Linked DNA regions of Drosophila melanogaster. The gene in region 2 interacts genetically with the main gene of each other region. Each region holds a gene or a part of one and is shown on either strand. Other genes may lie near its edges.

Evidence for each region.
Region 1: of spir (region 2) and mira, changing one suppresses a phenotype caused by changing the other (phenotypic suppression), as found in Drosophila melanogaster (one study listed by BioGRID).
Region 3: of spir (region 2) and capu, changing one suppresses a phenotype caused by changing the other (phenotypic suppression), as found in Drosophila melanogaster (one study listed by BioGRID).

Annotation. Positions count from the first base shown.
Region 1 is NT_033777.3:19,931,489-19,937,041, forward strand, and holds mira (miranda), read right to left. Parts: upstream 3,511-5,553; 5' UTR 3,186-3,510; coding exon 696-3,185; 3' UTR 546-695; downstream 1-545.
Region 2 is NT_033779.5:20,309,164-20,314,450, reverse strand, and holds the start of spir (spire), read right to left. Parts: upstream 3,233-5,287; 5' UTR 2,632-3,232; coding exon 2,037-2,631; intron 1-2,036.
Region 3 is NT_033779.5:3,899,816-3,904,922, reverse strand, and holds the start of capu (cappuccino), read left to right. Parts: upstream 1-2,062; 5' UTR 2,063-2,328; intron 2,329-5,107. UniProt on the Drosophila melanogaster protein: Acts as an actin nucleation factor and promotes assembly of actin filaments together with spir. May play a role in intracellular vesicle transport along actin fibers, providing a novel link between actin cytoskeleton dynamics and intracellular transport.

The DNA.
Region 1 (5,553 bases), on a different chromosome or scaffold from region 2:
TCGCAAGAATCCATCGGATTGCATGGCAGCCCACACCCCTTCCTTCTCATTCTTCAACGAGGAGTTTCAGCATGAGAAAATTCCACCACATCGAAATCAAAAACGAGTTGCACGGGGTTGGTATGAAAAACGTAAACAATTTCCTGATTCTTTAGGTACAGGCTTTTTTAAATGCATATACAAGATATAACGTATTTTAAGAACGAAGTTCAAGGTGATGATACTGTACACTTCTACATTTTAGATCAGAATACCTTTTATTTCTTTTTTTTTTTTACAGATAATTTGACCTTATATGAATAAATTGGCTAATAAATGGAAAAAATAATTGATGCATTCTCATTATTTTCGTTACATTCAAAGATGAGTCTATTTAATTTAAATAGCTTTAAAGAAGGTCTCACTTTCCAAGACACCTTTTTCAGATTTTTTATTTGATTTCTCATGCCTTAAAATGCATTGCATCAAAATGATATTTTTTATGAGATTAGGTAAGTCCCATATTTCCAGAACACAAACGCGAAAGATAGAAAACAATCAGATTTGGAATTTAGTCGGAGAGTGCTCGAAAGAGATTTCAGAAACACCTCTGGCTGTGTTGTGTGCAACGTGTATTGATTATATTTCGAATCGGATCTTAGCTAAGGTATATAATTTATAATAGTACGATAGAGTAGTTGTTACAAAGGAATAGCCTAGATGTTGCGCGCCTTGAGCACCTGCTTCTGTGGCGGACTGGGCACGTTCTCCTTGCCGGCGAACAGGACAGTCTTCTTGGGAGTGCTGGCCGCCGATCGTGGTGTTCGTGGGGTGTGGGGGGTGCGCGGACTGCGCGGGGTGTGCGGCGCCTTGGGTGTGCGGGGGGCGGGACGGGGCGAGGACTTGCCGGCGGACAGGAGCTCGTTGATCTCGCTGGTGGTATCCTGGCGCACGCACTTGTCCGAGGAGTTGAGCAGCCACGTGGTGATCTTCTCGCAGTCGGATCGCAGCTCCGAGTCGCACAGCAGATCCTCGATCTTCTCCAGATCGGTGGTATTGGAGCGGTTGGCCTTGCCAGGTGTTCCCAGCAGAGAGGCGGATCCCGGTTGCTTGGACTTGAGGGCAATGTTCTCCAGCTTGAGCTGTTCGCACTCCTCGCGCACCTTAACAAGCATCTGCTCCTTGTTGTCCAGCTCCAATTGGGCGAACTGCAGCACGGTGGCGAATTCATCGAGCGCCTTCTTCATGTCCACCATGTAGGCCTCGCGCGTCTCGTCCTTGCGGCGCAGCTCGTGGTAGTGGGCCAACTGGGCGTCGCCATCGATGCGCTCCTGGAACGAGTTTGCAATCTGATTGAATTTAGCCAACGTCTCCGCCTCGCCGGCTAGCAGCTCGTGGAGCAAGGACTCCTTCAACGATACCTCGCTCTGCAGCGTCTGGGAGGAGGATCTCAGTGCGTTGAGCGCATCCTGGCTCTCGGTCAATTGCTGGCGCAGTTGCTCTGCGTCCGCCTGCAACACCAGATAGCTCTGCTCCAGCGCTCCCTTGGCCAACTGCACCGATTCCAGCTCCGCTCGGTACTGCTCCACATCCGCATCGGACTTCTTTAGACGCTCCATCAGAATGTTGACGGTGGCCCGGGTGTTGGTCAAAGTCAGCTGGTAGTTGTACTTCTCGGTGATCGTCTTGGCCATGTCCTGCTTCAGCTGCACCAGCTGCTGCTGCAGTGCGTCGCTCAGCTGGATGTAGTAGTCGATGCCGTTGCGCAACTGCTCTTCGCATTTCTGCAGCTTCTCGTCGCGCATGCGCAGCATATCATTGGTGGTCTCCAGCAGCACCATCACGTCCTGCTTCTCCAGCTCGATCTTGATCAGCTCGTTCTCGGCCAGCTTCTGGCGCTTGTCCAGCTCGGCGCGCCAGTAGCTCTTCTCGCGCTCCACCGCGCTCTCTAGGTCGCTCTCAACCTGCTGCTGCACCTTGGCCACCGCCTGCTGCTGCTCGGTGTGGCGAGCCTGTTCCCGGCACAGCTGGCGAATGGTATCGCAGTGAGCATCGATCTCGCAGTTCTTGTCGAGAAGCTCGTCTTGCAGCGAGCGGATCAGAGTGCACTTGTTGGCCAAGTCATTCTTCAGGGTGTTGCGCTCCACCTTCAGACACTCCAGTTCCGCCTGGCAGCTCTTGGCCTCCTGTCCGTAGGACAGGGCATCCTGTTCGATCTGCTGCTTCAGCTGGACCACGTCGGCCAGCAGGGAGGCATTGGTCTTCTGGAGATTCTCTACCAGCTCAATGTTCTCGGCGGTCTTTGCCTGCTCCAGGCTGCAGTGCTCGCGGGCCTGAGCCACATCCGCCTGAAGAGCAGAGAGTTGTGCCTGCAGCTGCTCCTCCACCTTTTGACGATCCTCATTCGCTGTCTGCAGCAGCTCGTTGGCCAGACGCAGTGCCTCGCTCTCGGCAACCAACGCCTCCACTTGCCTTTCATGCTCGTCGTGCTGTTGCTGCAACTGCTGCTCCATGGCGGCCAAACGCTCCAAAAGATCAGCGTGCTCCTGGCCCATCTGCTCGTTCAGAGCTTTGTGCGATAAATTCTCACTGGTCAGGGCTTCGATGAGCCGATCTGTCTTGGAGGTAGCCAACTCATGCTCCTCGCGCAACTTGGCCTCGGCTTCCTTCAACTGATCCACATGGCGGCGCAGCACGTCCAGTTGGCTCAACTGGCTCTCGATCAGTTCGTTTTTGTGACGGATTTCGTACTGGAGTGCCTCCTTGCCCTTCAGACGGCTGGCTGACTTGGCCTCCTTTACGGGCGTGGTGGCTGCCGAATGCAGAGGAGTGGATGCCGCTGTTGAGGCGCCACTTCCGCTTCCGGTGGCCGTATCCGTGTGACTGGGAGTCGGACGGAAGCGTAGGCGCTGCGGCAACGAAGGAGTACGGAACAGACGTAATCCCTTTGACTTTTTGTCCTCCTTGGGAATGGCAAATTCCTTGGCCTCCTTCGAGCTGGACGCGAAACGCACGGCGTCCTTGAAGAACTTCTCGATCTGCTCCTTGCGTTCCGGTTGAACGGTTGGCGGAGCAGCGGCTGCCGAAGACGCGGTGGGCGTGGCACTGCCCGCCGATCCCGCCGAGCTGTTGGACGCAGCTGGCGAACCGCAGATGGCCACATCCACGTCGTTGAAACGCTTCAACTTGGCCTTGGAGAAAGACATTTTCGAATTTGTTTTTTGGACTTTCGGTTTAACTTGGTAACGATTCTTTTCGGATTTTGTATCAATGTCTCATTAACAACGCTCGTTTAACTTTCGATATAACAATAACTCAACGATCAAACATAAACACAACTTTAACTTTCGGTTTAATTTGGTTATCTTTTCCTTAGGATTTTTAGGTAAACTGTTTAACAATATGGTAGTAGTCTGTAGTCGTATTTAATTCATCTGTACTTTGTGGTCCGTTCTGTGCTACACTAAACCCGCTATCCCGTTGCTACCCGTTTCACTGTACCTACGCGTTCCGCTGTCAAAACCTAACTGAGCTCACCTTCTGTCCAAGATCCCTGAGGCAGACATAGCCTCCAGCTGGCACAGCGAGTGGAAAAGGGATGGATAGAGTGTGGAAACGAGATAGACCCAGGGGAGGCAAAGAAAACAACCCTCGCTCGAGCAGGGGTCGCTTCAACGATCCTGCATTGCTTCACCTATGTGGGATATACCCAACATTTCAGGTTGGGTATTTCCGAGATCTTCAAACGAAAAATGGTTTATGGTTTTCATTTCGTAGGACTTTCATTTTAATCTAATAACATTAACATTGAATATAATAATTAGTGGACATAGAAAATAATATCACGACAATTTTGGATTTTTTAGATATTAGCTGAACAAAAATTTCATATTCCTTAAACATTCTAATGTTAATTTAATATTAGACAAGTCATTTGCAGACGGCATAATTCTTCTGATCTTAACCACTTTTCAATTTAAATTAAACATATAATATTATATATTTTCTATAATGTCCTCTTTTAAGAGTATCTAGAATTCAGGTAAGCCGAGTTATACGACTCCTAATTTTTTTTTTATTTGGTGGTAGTTCGTGCCACAGTTCTTGATCCCCTGTTCGTCTTATCTGTGTGTTTGTCAAGACGTCGGCCTCGTGTATATAAAGGAAATGTTTTCATTTTAGCGCGCGCAAATGTTGCAATTGTAGTTCAAGACAGCACGAGGAGGGTTCGAGACCGGAGTGGGGGTAGCAAGATGGGTAGGGGTGGAGATAGGACGACGGGGTTCCGCATTCCCCGGCTTAAGTACATATGGGAAATGTGCCGTTGCCGACGAACAGAGACACACTCACTCACATCTGCCTGGGCTTCTCCTTTCCTTCGAGGACTACAAGTAAATGCGATTGCTTTCGAGAATTGCGAGACTACGAGTACAAGGATATGAGCTGATGGCTGGATGGACTGCCTCATCCGTTAGCTCCAACACAGCTGGCAGCCAGCATAATTCGTTAATTTGATACGAAATCCGATGCCCGCATAATTAAAGGAAAATGCGTCGGAAATGGGCGAGTTGCGCCTGCGCAATGAGTTGAATGGAATTGAGGCTAAATGAATTGCATGGAAAATGGAAATGCGTCGGGAAAATTGATTTTTCATGTGATATCGCTAGGCAGTTGGGCAATCGGCCATCTATAATCTGTATAGAGAACCCCCTCATGATATCCTGCTGATCCTGCGGTAGCTGCCTGTGCATCCTGTCATTTTTTCACTTCTTTTCTCCAGTGAGTTTGTCACAACTGCCAACTGAAATCAGCTGGTTGTTCCTTTGATGGCAAACAATGACCGGAAGATTCTAGCAACTGGGAGGTGATAATTCTAGGTTAAAGCAGACAAGCATGAAATTCTGGGTGGGTCAGCCACACACAGCTGTGCAAAAGAATTATAATGTAGAAAGACAATGTAGGGAGCCATAGGACAAGGGAAATCGTTTGGAAATCAATAGAATATTAATACTCAAGCATTACTTTTTAATTTATATTTATGCTTCACAACCTTTGTCAATTTATATAGTTCATGTACATAATATGTATGTATATAAGGTTACGAAACCATCCTTTGGTTTCATAGAGGTAATATTTTCCCATAAACATATTTGCATTTGATTTTCCCAAACTCTCTTATAATAAAAATGGAAATTTTACGAAAAAGGGTTTTCATTATTCGCTGATCCAATGATGTGCAGGACTCACAGTAATATTAATGATGTTAATGACATTTACCCTACGCCGCGACACCTTCAACATCATTTTCCCATGCCTGTCCATGCATAACTACCATTCATTGAACGCGCTATAAGGTAACGCGATCTAATGATGTTTCCATGGGATCCATTCTCACTTCTCCTGAGCCAGAGCCAATGTCATCACAACACAAAGTGAGTGCAACAAAAGACTGGCTTGGCCCCTGAAGATCAAAGGGGTTTCGCACCCTCATGGGATACAAAACGTTACTAAAGAACGAGGACGTGGATCTGAGTCATCGACCTTTGAGCAACGTCCCGATGAAGCTACGAAGAA
Region 2 (5,287 bases):
GAGCAGACTAATTGCCCCCGCTGGCGGTTCTCGAGGTTCCCGGGCCAAAACCTTTCGATATCTCACCTAATGGCTTGGATTTTAGCGGCTGAATTAGCGGCAATTAAGGTGTTACAAGGTGATCTCTGTTTGGCCCGAGGAAAGTTCTGATGATAAGCATAAACAAAGGTTACGTGTGAATTTAGATAAGAAATTGACGATCACAGACCTTTAATTACAGAGGTTTAAGAGCTAAGAACATTTTTTAAGTTATTTATAAAAGAAAATTTCTGAATTTTAAGTAGTATACTGAAATGGGTTTTAAAATCCCCTAGGACTTCCTACAGCATTATCAGCCATCTATAGTTCCTTCACCTCCGAGTTACACAGTTCAATTAATACTGTAACTTCCTGTATCTGCGTGCCCTTAAGATTACCCATGTAACTGGCTAATTGTCTATAAGAGCTAACTAATTGGCCACGCTGATACAAAAGCCGGCTATAGGCAGAGTTGGCCTGGCCAAATAGAGATAGACAGGCCCATACGAAGAAAGATGCAATGGAATGCAGTTAATGCTGCAGACCAAAAGCTGAGCTGAGTCACATTAAGGGCCACCTAGGAGAACGAAATCCAAGATTCCCATCACTACCCACTCAGAAACGCATTTTCCAATTAACGTGGCTTATCTAAAAGTCGATAGATTACCGACCTGTATTTTGACAGTCCCCGCGCAGACGAATGATTAAACAATTAGCTGCGAGACAGACTCAGACACGTTCTGTAGATTCAGAGATCGAGAGGCGAAAAAGTATCCCCCCATCAATTACAGCGAATGCAGGGGGAATGCCGAAAGGAAAGGCTGTGATCGTTACACTGGAAAAAATCTACTTTCGTAGATTTGGATTCGATTGTATTGCGGCAAGGAAAAGCGTTCAATCTTCTGCCCAATCCGAACATGACCTGCCTTTCTTCCAGTGATACTTGTGCTCTCCGAGCTACAAAAGAAAGTGAAAAACACTGCTGATAGGGTACTGGGATGGTACCTTCTTCATGGGAGTCGCCGTTTACACTTTCCCAAGCCAGCACGCAATCAGACAGAAGGCAGAAGTGGGGAAAACCCCAATCAAAGCTGGCTGGCTGCATAACTTAAATGCAGAGGTCATCATCGGATGGCGGATAGTGTGGGTTGTTTGTTTGGAAAGCGCTGGGGACTCCGCTGGCGATGGCCGGGCGATGCCAATAGTCAGATGGATGGCACACGGAAACCCACATCACGGCAGATGTCCGAAAATAAAAGGCCGAGAGAAAGAAGTTAACTGTGGCTTATTAACTGAAAATGAAAGCGTTTGCCGAAAAGACAAAGACCCCTCAGCATTCGGAGAGGCATCAGCGCAACCGGTTTTCCGGCCCAGCTAATCACAGCCCCAGTTTTCATCACTGTTACAGTTCCGCATCTGAAGTCAACACCCAACTGACCTCTGACGGGCCGAAATACACATAAACTATATATATATCTTTAGGAAGACTCATAAAAAATAATAGGAAATATTGCTCAAAGGATACAGAACTTAACACAAAGTCGAAAGAATATACACGGGTTGCTAGCTTAAAGGTAGTCAAATTGCATTTGCGTGCAATGTACAATAAATTATTTGTGATTAAAACATGTTACTATAATTGTAAGGAAAAACGACATTAAAATGTCATTTGGGGTTGGCAGGTTCATTAGGTTATCAATCCAAATTGTTAGTTGATCAATGTTGTATTGAACATTTCCACTTCTATATAGATTCTAAAGATTGCCAGTTGTGTGCAGCACGTTAATAAATAAATGTTATAACATTAATAACTATGACTATAGATCAATTTTAGTTCAAATATTTTCAGCATGATTTAAAAAATAATAAATTAAAAATTCAAGGAATAGAAGATTCATACTAAGTTAATTTCCGTTAATTAAACAACTGGCATAAACTGCAGGAATATTAATTTCCGCTAACTGTAGCCGTGAGAAATATGTATGCATATTGATTTTTCAGTAGGTCGGTCTGCTTACCTCTGTTGATGACGCTGCTGTCGCCGCTGCTGCTGGCGCTGTGGTCCGGCTGATCCACAATCACGTCGTGCTGCGGGGGGAGGGGGATCTGCTCCTGCTGCAGTTGCTCCTTAGGCGTCAGCTGATCCGGGCCGGAGAAGTGGACGCTGCCGTCGCGATGGAAGTGCAGCTCGAATCCGGTGGGCAGGGCGGCCTCGTAGTCCGCGGCACAGGTGTGCGCTTGTACGGCCACCTGGTGGTAGAGCCCGGCGAACTGGTGGATCAGGGCCCAGGCCTGGTCCTCGGAGAGCGGCGCCTTAAAGGAGTCCAGGATGTCGTGCAGCGTGACGCACTGTTCTGGCGAGGAGCAGCGGTGGAAGGCTTGCAGGATGAGCGGGCGGGCTTGGCCCGCCTGCTGGGGATGCGCACTGGAGGACATGGCCAGCTGGTCCGCTGGCAGCTTGTGTTGGGCATCGCCGTTGGCGCTGTCCGGCGATGTGGACAGGAAGGCGTCTTCCTTCGCGTCCTTGAACTTTCCACTCGGGGTGGGTGTGGGCGTGGCCTTGACCTTGGTGGGCGGCGTGTCCGCCTGCTCCTCGGCCTGGTGCTCCGTCATTATGTGTGTGGGCGTGTGTGGCTATCGATGGCTTTCAACCCGATTCCACTGCAAACCCGGCACTGGCCAACATATAATTGATTTTTTTGCCTCTTTCGGGTGGGCTAACCTGCAAAATTCGCGGTTTGTTTTTGGTTCGATTTTGGTTTAGTTTTGTTGTTGTTGTTTTTCTGTGTTGTGTGTGGTAAATGGCAAAGGAAACTTTAATACAATAATAACACAACACGAGGGGATGGAATTCGGATTCCCGACGTACACGATTCTAATATTTTGTTTGTCGTCAGCTACATTAAACACAAAGCACAGGGTATAACAAAAAACACATGATTTTCGCTTGAGAATATTTTAAACTGGCGTCACGTTTTTGTTTTCGCACTTCTTAAGTCGGCATTCGCAAATCGCCGTTAGACTCTGCTAGAAATTTCACAACACTGAGGAGATGGAAATCACGCACTTTGCTTTATTTTTATTTTCTTCTGTTTCATTTGCATTTCTTTATTATTTGAAATCTCTCTGTTTTTCTTCGGCAATCGCACTTCGTTTTTTCTCACCGGCTATTTTTTACACACGTCCGTTCGCCGCGAGTTGCTAATCGTAAATGACACTCTTGTGCTCAAATGCATGCAGCATGCAACAATGTTACCAACTTAAATGTTGCCGGAACGGCCGTTCCAACTTGAGTTAAGAGAGCATTTTGTTCGTACAAGAAGAGAAATATCTTCGTTGTGTTCTAAATGAAATTTGAATTGGAATTGAGGGATTTTTTTTTTAATTAAAACTGTTCTTTTGAAGACAGCTGATTCACCTAATAATAAGATCACATCAAAATGTAGAGTCAATTCGACGGAGAGCGAGAAAAAAAAAACAAACAAGCCCGCGGGAAAAACATAAAGTTTTCTCTTTTCAAATTTGTTGCTTCAAAACGAAAAAAGTGAATGGTCTCTTGTTATGATATACTCTCTTTTTCCGTGGAAACATGCATAGCAACAAGATGATGCAACATTCCCAAATGTTGCAGACTAAAGTGTTGCCGACTAAAATGTTGACGGATCAGCCGTTCCAATTGGAGTTGAGGGACAATTTTTATTCGTAAATAAAGAGAAATTTTTTCGTTGTCTTCTAATTGGAATTAAGGAATTTTTGGGGAGCGACAGCTGATTTACATAATATAAACATTGATTACAAGAATATATTGTAGTATGTGCATATATCGAGGGTACACTGTACCTATAAGTACACAGCAACACTTAGTTGCATTGCATAAATAAATGTCTCAAGTGAGCGTGATATAAGATCACCCATTTATGCTTTAAGCTAAGTCAGCATCCCCACGCTGGCCGCTGGCCATATATGCGCATAAGCTCTCTCTCTCTCTCTCTTATACATATATATATACGCTGCTCTTCTGCCGCTGTCGACGGCGGCGCAGTCGCAGTATTTAGGTAAGATTAGACACTCTGTAGAGGTTAAGCGGGCAGAACCGTTTCTGCTACTCGAAGAGATAAGAAGAAATAAAAAGGTGGCCTGACGGCTGCACCCAACTGCAAGGAAAACACGTGTTCTCAATTGGTGGCATATATTGGTTTATTACATGGCGACCGTGAGGCAGGAGCCTGCGATCTGAGGACTACTGAGGAAATGCTGCTAATATTGCCGATTTGATTTGGGAATTCTAAACAGCGACAACAGGTGTGAGAGGCAGGCCGCCCCTTACACCAGTGCGGGAGACCTAGAGACGGGACACTGATGAAAAAAAAAAGAAACAAAAATACTGAGTGAGTAGAGTGTGGTAATGGGCAAACGCGGATGTCAGGAAATCAAAAATAAAGGTATAGCACATATTAAGTGGCTATGATATACAAATAAAACACCGCCCCCATGGGCAACGGCACCGAAATTAACTGCCGAATTAGACTTTCTGAAAGAAAACCTCCAGCAAAGAAAGCCGAATACCACAACTCACTCAGCAAAAATAGAAATAATCAATGAAGAAATAACTGAAAATTCAACATCACCCAAGCCGAAAAGACCCGACGTCTGCATGAACGACTGCCCTCGACCATTGTAAGCCGCAACAGCAATTAGCACGGCATCCTGCGAGGGTAGGATTAGGATAAAGGATAAAGGATTCCACCGGCGCGCCGCACATGACAACAGCGAATGTCTACCAAGCAGACGTTCGAACACCCTGCTCCTGTCGAGCAAAGGGATCTGCCAAGTATCAAAGAGGTAATAGAGGTAGATCCGTCCGCGGGACCAAAGCCCTTGACCATACAAGAGTACAAGGCACGGACTGCAGCGAGGGAGCAGCCACCTAAAAAGAAGAGGGGTGGCCGCCGGATTAAGTTGCTCAGCGCCCGGAGGCTCAACATCGAACTACTGAAGACGGCAACTAATGAGGAAGACCGGCAGCGCTACAAAGAGCGCCTTGCAGCCATCAATCAACAACTTCGTGGTGCGAAGTAAAGCGGCGGGCTGCGTTATACGCCATAGCCTCAACCGCCCAAATATTATATTAATGTTGTCGATGCGGTTTCCGCTGCAACAAAATTACTAACTTATCAGGGACCCATTTCATAACTAACACATTATACTCAGTCCTAAACTTAAAATAAGTAATAATATTGTAAAATTGCAAATTGCAACCGATGTAAAC
Region 3 (5,107 bases), about 16 Mb from region 2:
AATATTCTGGTCAAATCATTGTTAAACCGACAGCCAAACACAAAAGCCACCTTTGAGGTTTCTATGCATTTTTTTTTTTAAATATGGAAATTGTTCTCGTTTAAATCAAATAAAAGAGACAAAATGTTCATTTAATTGCTTTTCCGCCCAGTCAGCCCAAAATGCAAAATAAACATGACCAATAAAAATCAAACTTCGACACAATGCGAAAAAGGGGAAAGGTTGGCAAAAGTTTTTCGACTCCTCATTAGCTTTTGTCTCCATTGGGGCATTAAATTGGAACGAATATTTGTTTGCTCGGTTCGACTAATTGCGCTGCTAATTTCAATTGTTCGCATTGTCGGCAAGCAATAATAATGCAAAAATTGTAATTACAAATTAACAATTGGTCGTCTGGGTCCCTCGGTGACCTAAAATTAGATTGTGTAAATTTGCAAATTAATTTGCCATTGCACAAAGAGCTCCGTGCAATTCAGCTCGGCAAAATCAGAGCACACAATATCAATTTATTTACTGTGCAATCTGTAAATAGTAGAACATGGAGTCATTAAATTGCAACTGCTAAAAAAAAAACTTGAAAATTTAGTACTGCCAGTCAAAAGTCCAAGTGAGTTGCATTTACATAAAAATAGGCTAACAAAAAAAATATCTACACAGCGTCATACAAGACCGCAAAAATATGGAAATTCAAATAGAAACAGTATCTTTTAGCAAAAAGAGAAAATCTTTAAAATAAAATCATAATAGCCGGCAAATGGAATAATCAACAGACATCAAAACGAATTCGAATTAAATTTTAAACTGCGGGAAGCTTAAAACCGATTTTGTAAACTACAACTGGGTGAAAAGTTCAATACAAATACTTTTATTTACTTTTCACCTTCATTTGTGAAAGGTGATTACCGAAAAATCATCAGCCAACTATAGCAAAACTTTCTCCCAACTTGCGGATGAAACAAAAATGATACAAATTCCTTTTTGCTTTCTTTTTTCGCTCTAAAATTATAAAATCGAAATGGGTTGTAAAAACAATCAGTTGTACAGAATTCTTTGCTTGCTTTCGATTGTTAGTAAAACCCTTGAGCACTCAGTGATATTGTAAAAATACACAAAATATTTAATTGCACAGCAAAGTATAAAAGAAGGGGGAATTATCTTTAATCCAATACTTGTTTAGCTCTGTTATGAAATATTTGAGTAATAAATCCACATAATTGATACTTTTAACAAACAAAATAAAAACGTAATATGTGAGCATTAAAAATGAAAAATGTATCAGTATTTTATTTGAATAATTGCAAGCGGAAGCAAGGAATTTAGTAAAATAAAATAATTTCGTTTTTGAATGAAGGTTACATAAATTTCTCTTAGCGATAAAAACTATTTAATGGATATTAAAGATTTAAGGACATTGTAAATAGATAAACAGAGTAAACCAAAGAGTTTAGAAATTTAATTTGAAATAAATGTGTTTAAAACATAATCGAAAATATTTATTAGAATAGTGAATAATATCTGCATTTTTATGAATGGGTTACTGTGGCGTTGAGTAAGATACATCTATAAATGGTATTTCTTATTTAATTAATGATCTTACTTTTAACTATGTATAATAAAAAAATAGTTTTAAAAATAGTTAAGGAGTTTTATTTAGTCCCCGAACAAACTCAGACCACCCACGCATTTTTCAAGTATCCACCTAGATATAAACAAAGATGTACTGGTAATCCAAAACCAAATATGATCAAAATAGCCAATAACTTTAGTCTAAGTCTGCGACTATATTAAACTGTCCATTTTCGTTCTATAATTTTTACTCAAACTAAATGTAAACTATTAAATCTGCTTTTAAAAAAAAAAAGAACCGAGAGAACAGAAATGTTCACGCCAGGCGATTGAAACATTTTACTGACCTTTTTAGTGCGAAACCAAAAGTTTAAACTAATTTTAATTGTAAACCTAGACAGTAATGATATACGATATATTATACAATGTAAATCAGAATATACGATAATTATAAAGTAAATAAAATGAAATTTAAAACAAGCAGTTCGTCTACACCGTTCAATTGGGTTAGGCATACAAAATTCTGTCAAAATTTGTGTAATTTTTCGTTTCCTTTTTTTTGTTGTATATCGTTTTGGTAAGATGATTGTGTATCCAATGGAAGAGCTCTATCCGGCTATGATGGTCATAGCCATCACATTGTTAGCCCTTCTGCAATGGGGTATTCGTGCCACAATTAAGCCCAAAATATTGGGCCCACAGAAAAACGCAATAAAAAATGGAGTAAACAACAAAAGGAGGAAAGTCCTCTCCGCCATGCAGGTAAATTGAAAAATGTTTGCAATTGTTTTTACCATCTATCTATGCTCTTTTTGCGGTGCGCACAATTAAGGTGGAAAAATGTAGATCGACTGTCAGATATTCTTACAGAAACTGAATATATTTTGCCTATCTGAGCATTAAACAACAATGACCATTAATGATTTATCAGATTTAAAGACCAGTATATATGTATAATATATAATTAATAATCTTCATATATATTATTTTTAATTACTACAACTTAGGCACAACACTAGTATTTTTAACAATCATTGCACTTAACAGATTTTTGTTTTGATTTTAAAAAGTGTATTCAATTATTTCGCAACTTTAAAACTCAATTTTTGTGGAATTTTATTTTTTGACTGCTTGGCAACTCTGACCACCAATGCGTGCCTGTGTGTGTGTTGCTTGTCAGTCTGCGTGTGTGTGTGAGTTTGCGCTGCTGGCAAACCGCAAAATGGTGACATTGTGCAAATAAAAAACAATTTACGATAAACATCAAATTTCCACAAATTACCTTATATTTTACGTGAGTTGCGAAACAGATTGTAAAACGCGAAAACACACACAAACCGAGGGAAAAGTGAAAAAAAAGAAAACCGCGATTCGCAGATTTTACACTGCAATGAACATTTTGTTTCACTGTTCACCATTGTTTGCCAAGTGTGGAATAGGGGCGAGAGGTTTGGAAACTTGGGGGCGTGGCTAAGAGAGGTGCCACTTTAAGCGTGCCGCATGCCCCCACCTGAATCTCGAATTTTGCAATTATTTTTATTGCTCGCCATTTTGCTCGTCTGATGTTTTCCACGTTTTTTTTTTTCACCCCCCAGCTGCAACCTGACGGGGGTTGGGGAATGTGTTTGGGGGCAGAATAGAGGTCGTAGGCCATTTCGAGGGCCCTTCATAAATTTCCACAGTGCGGAAGAAGGAAAAAAAATTATTCTTTATATGAGGGAAATAAATAAAAAAATGCTTGTTAAGCTGCGGCGCTGTATGTTTGCGCATAAAAAGCATACAAATTATGCAGGCACTGTAAGAGATTAAAAACTAAATAAAAATAAGTGTGAAAAATTGCTTCCTAAATATATAACGAGAAACCCTTTTCAATCTTAAATAGTATCATTGATCAAACTTTTCAATCGCACCTTTATCAACACCTCAGATTTTCAGAGCAAAAGAGATTTGCAGCCATCTTGACATTTGTCGGCCAGTATGAGGCGCCACTTTCCCACGATTTTCCATTTCGAAGAGCTCATTCCTGCCCCCTAATTGATGTCGCCAGGTGTCGTCGAACCACATAAACAGGGCTCAACGGCAAAAAAAAAAGAAATCCAGAACAGCCAGTTCACTGGCCGCATTGTGCGCCAGAGGGCCAATAATTAGGAGTGTCTTTAAGATGGGTCTAAAAAATGATAAGAGGGCTGGAAAGCAGATAGCGACATGACCAACTCAAATAGGCAGCGGGGAAACTTGGCCTAGACTGTGTTGACTTGCTGGCCAATGTAATTAGGGAGCATTAGGATTAGACCGACTGTTCCCAAGCAGCGGATAACAAAGCACTGCACAGAGAGAAGATAATTAGGTCTAATTTGTACTATTAAATATACTTCTTTAAAGGTATTAAATAAAAATTCTACTTAGCTCGTGGGAATATCAGAAATTAAATGCCAAGTAGTTGTTAGAAAAATATTGAATAATCCTGAGAAACATACTTCTGATTTTCAGTGCAAACGCAATAAGCCAACTAAAACTTGGCCAACGGCAAGTTGGAGAGAAGGAGCAGAAAATGTGGTAAACTTTTTGCTGTTTTGGCGTAAACAAAAATAAATCAATTTCTTGGTGCGCACAATTGTTAAGATAGTAGATAGGACAGAGTCCATAACGACAGGACCGAACAACAGGATAAGTCCGCAGAGTCATGTCAATGGCCGGCGGCTTTCGAGAAATGGAAATTTCGAAAGACGCCAGGCATTTTTCCTTAGATTCTTTTGCAAATATTCCAAATTCAACGGAAAGTGGAATAATATTTGCACGACTTGCGTATGTAAAGCCACTTATACCTGGGACCATGCTGATTGCATTTGGAAGTATTTTCAGGTGCCTGTGGCAAATTTAAATATTCAAGTGACCTTTAAGAAGAAGTTTTTATAAACAAAAACAATTTAAACATTTCTTCTTGGCACAACTCATATACAGAGTTCCGTGGATTTCCGTGGCATCGCCGATAATTATTTCTTGAAACATGCTAGAATTCAATTTCTAAAACTCCAATCAAATTACCAATATACACGTCTCGAACAGAAACCTAATTTGAATGCCAGCGAAGCGGGTGAAATGTAGTTAACTTTCAGTCGATTTAGTTTGGTTTCGAGCTCCCTTCAATAACCCTTGTTCTAAGCTCCAAGTCCCCCATACCGTCACCATTAGTTCTTATTCCCCGGGTTCTTGTCGCTATTTCTGCTGTTCCTGCTGTTGCATCGCATTCTCATTGACAAGTTTAATTGATGGGCGTCAGCGTCAGCTTTTGGCTTCAGCTCGACGGAGTTTGGGGAAAAGGCCATGGCCAAGACACCATCCCGCATACCCCACTTTGCCCATCACACTCTGACCCCCGTTGTACAGTACACCCTCGATTACCGGAATGGCGACGCGACAAAACCGCAGAATCTAATTTGGCACAAACCACCAAAGCAATTAAAGTTGCAGCTCTGCAAACGGTGTCCGATGCGAATGTTCCCCAACTGTCTATCTGTCTCTGTCTTTCCCTCGGCGCGTT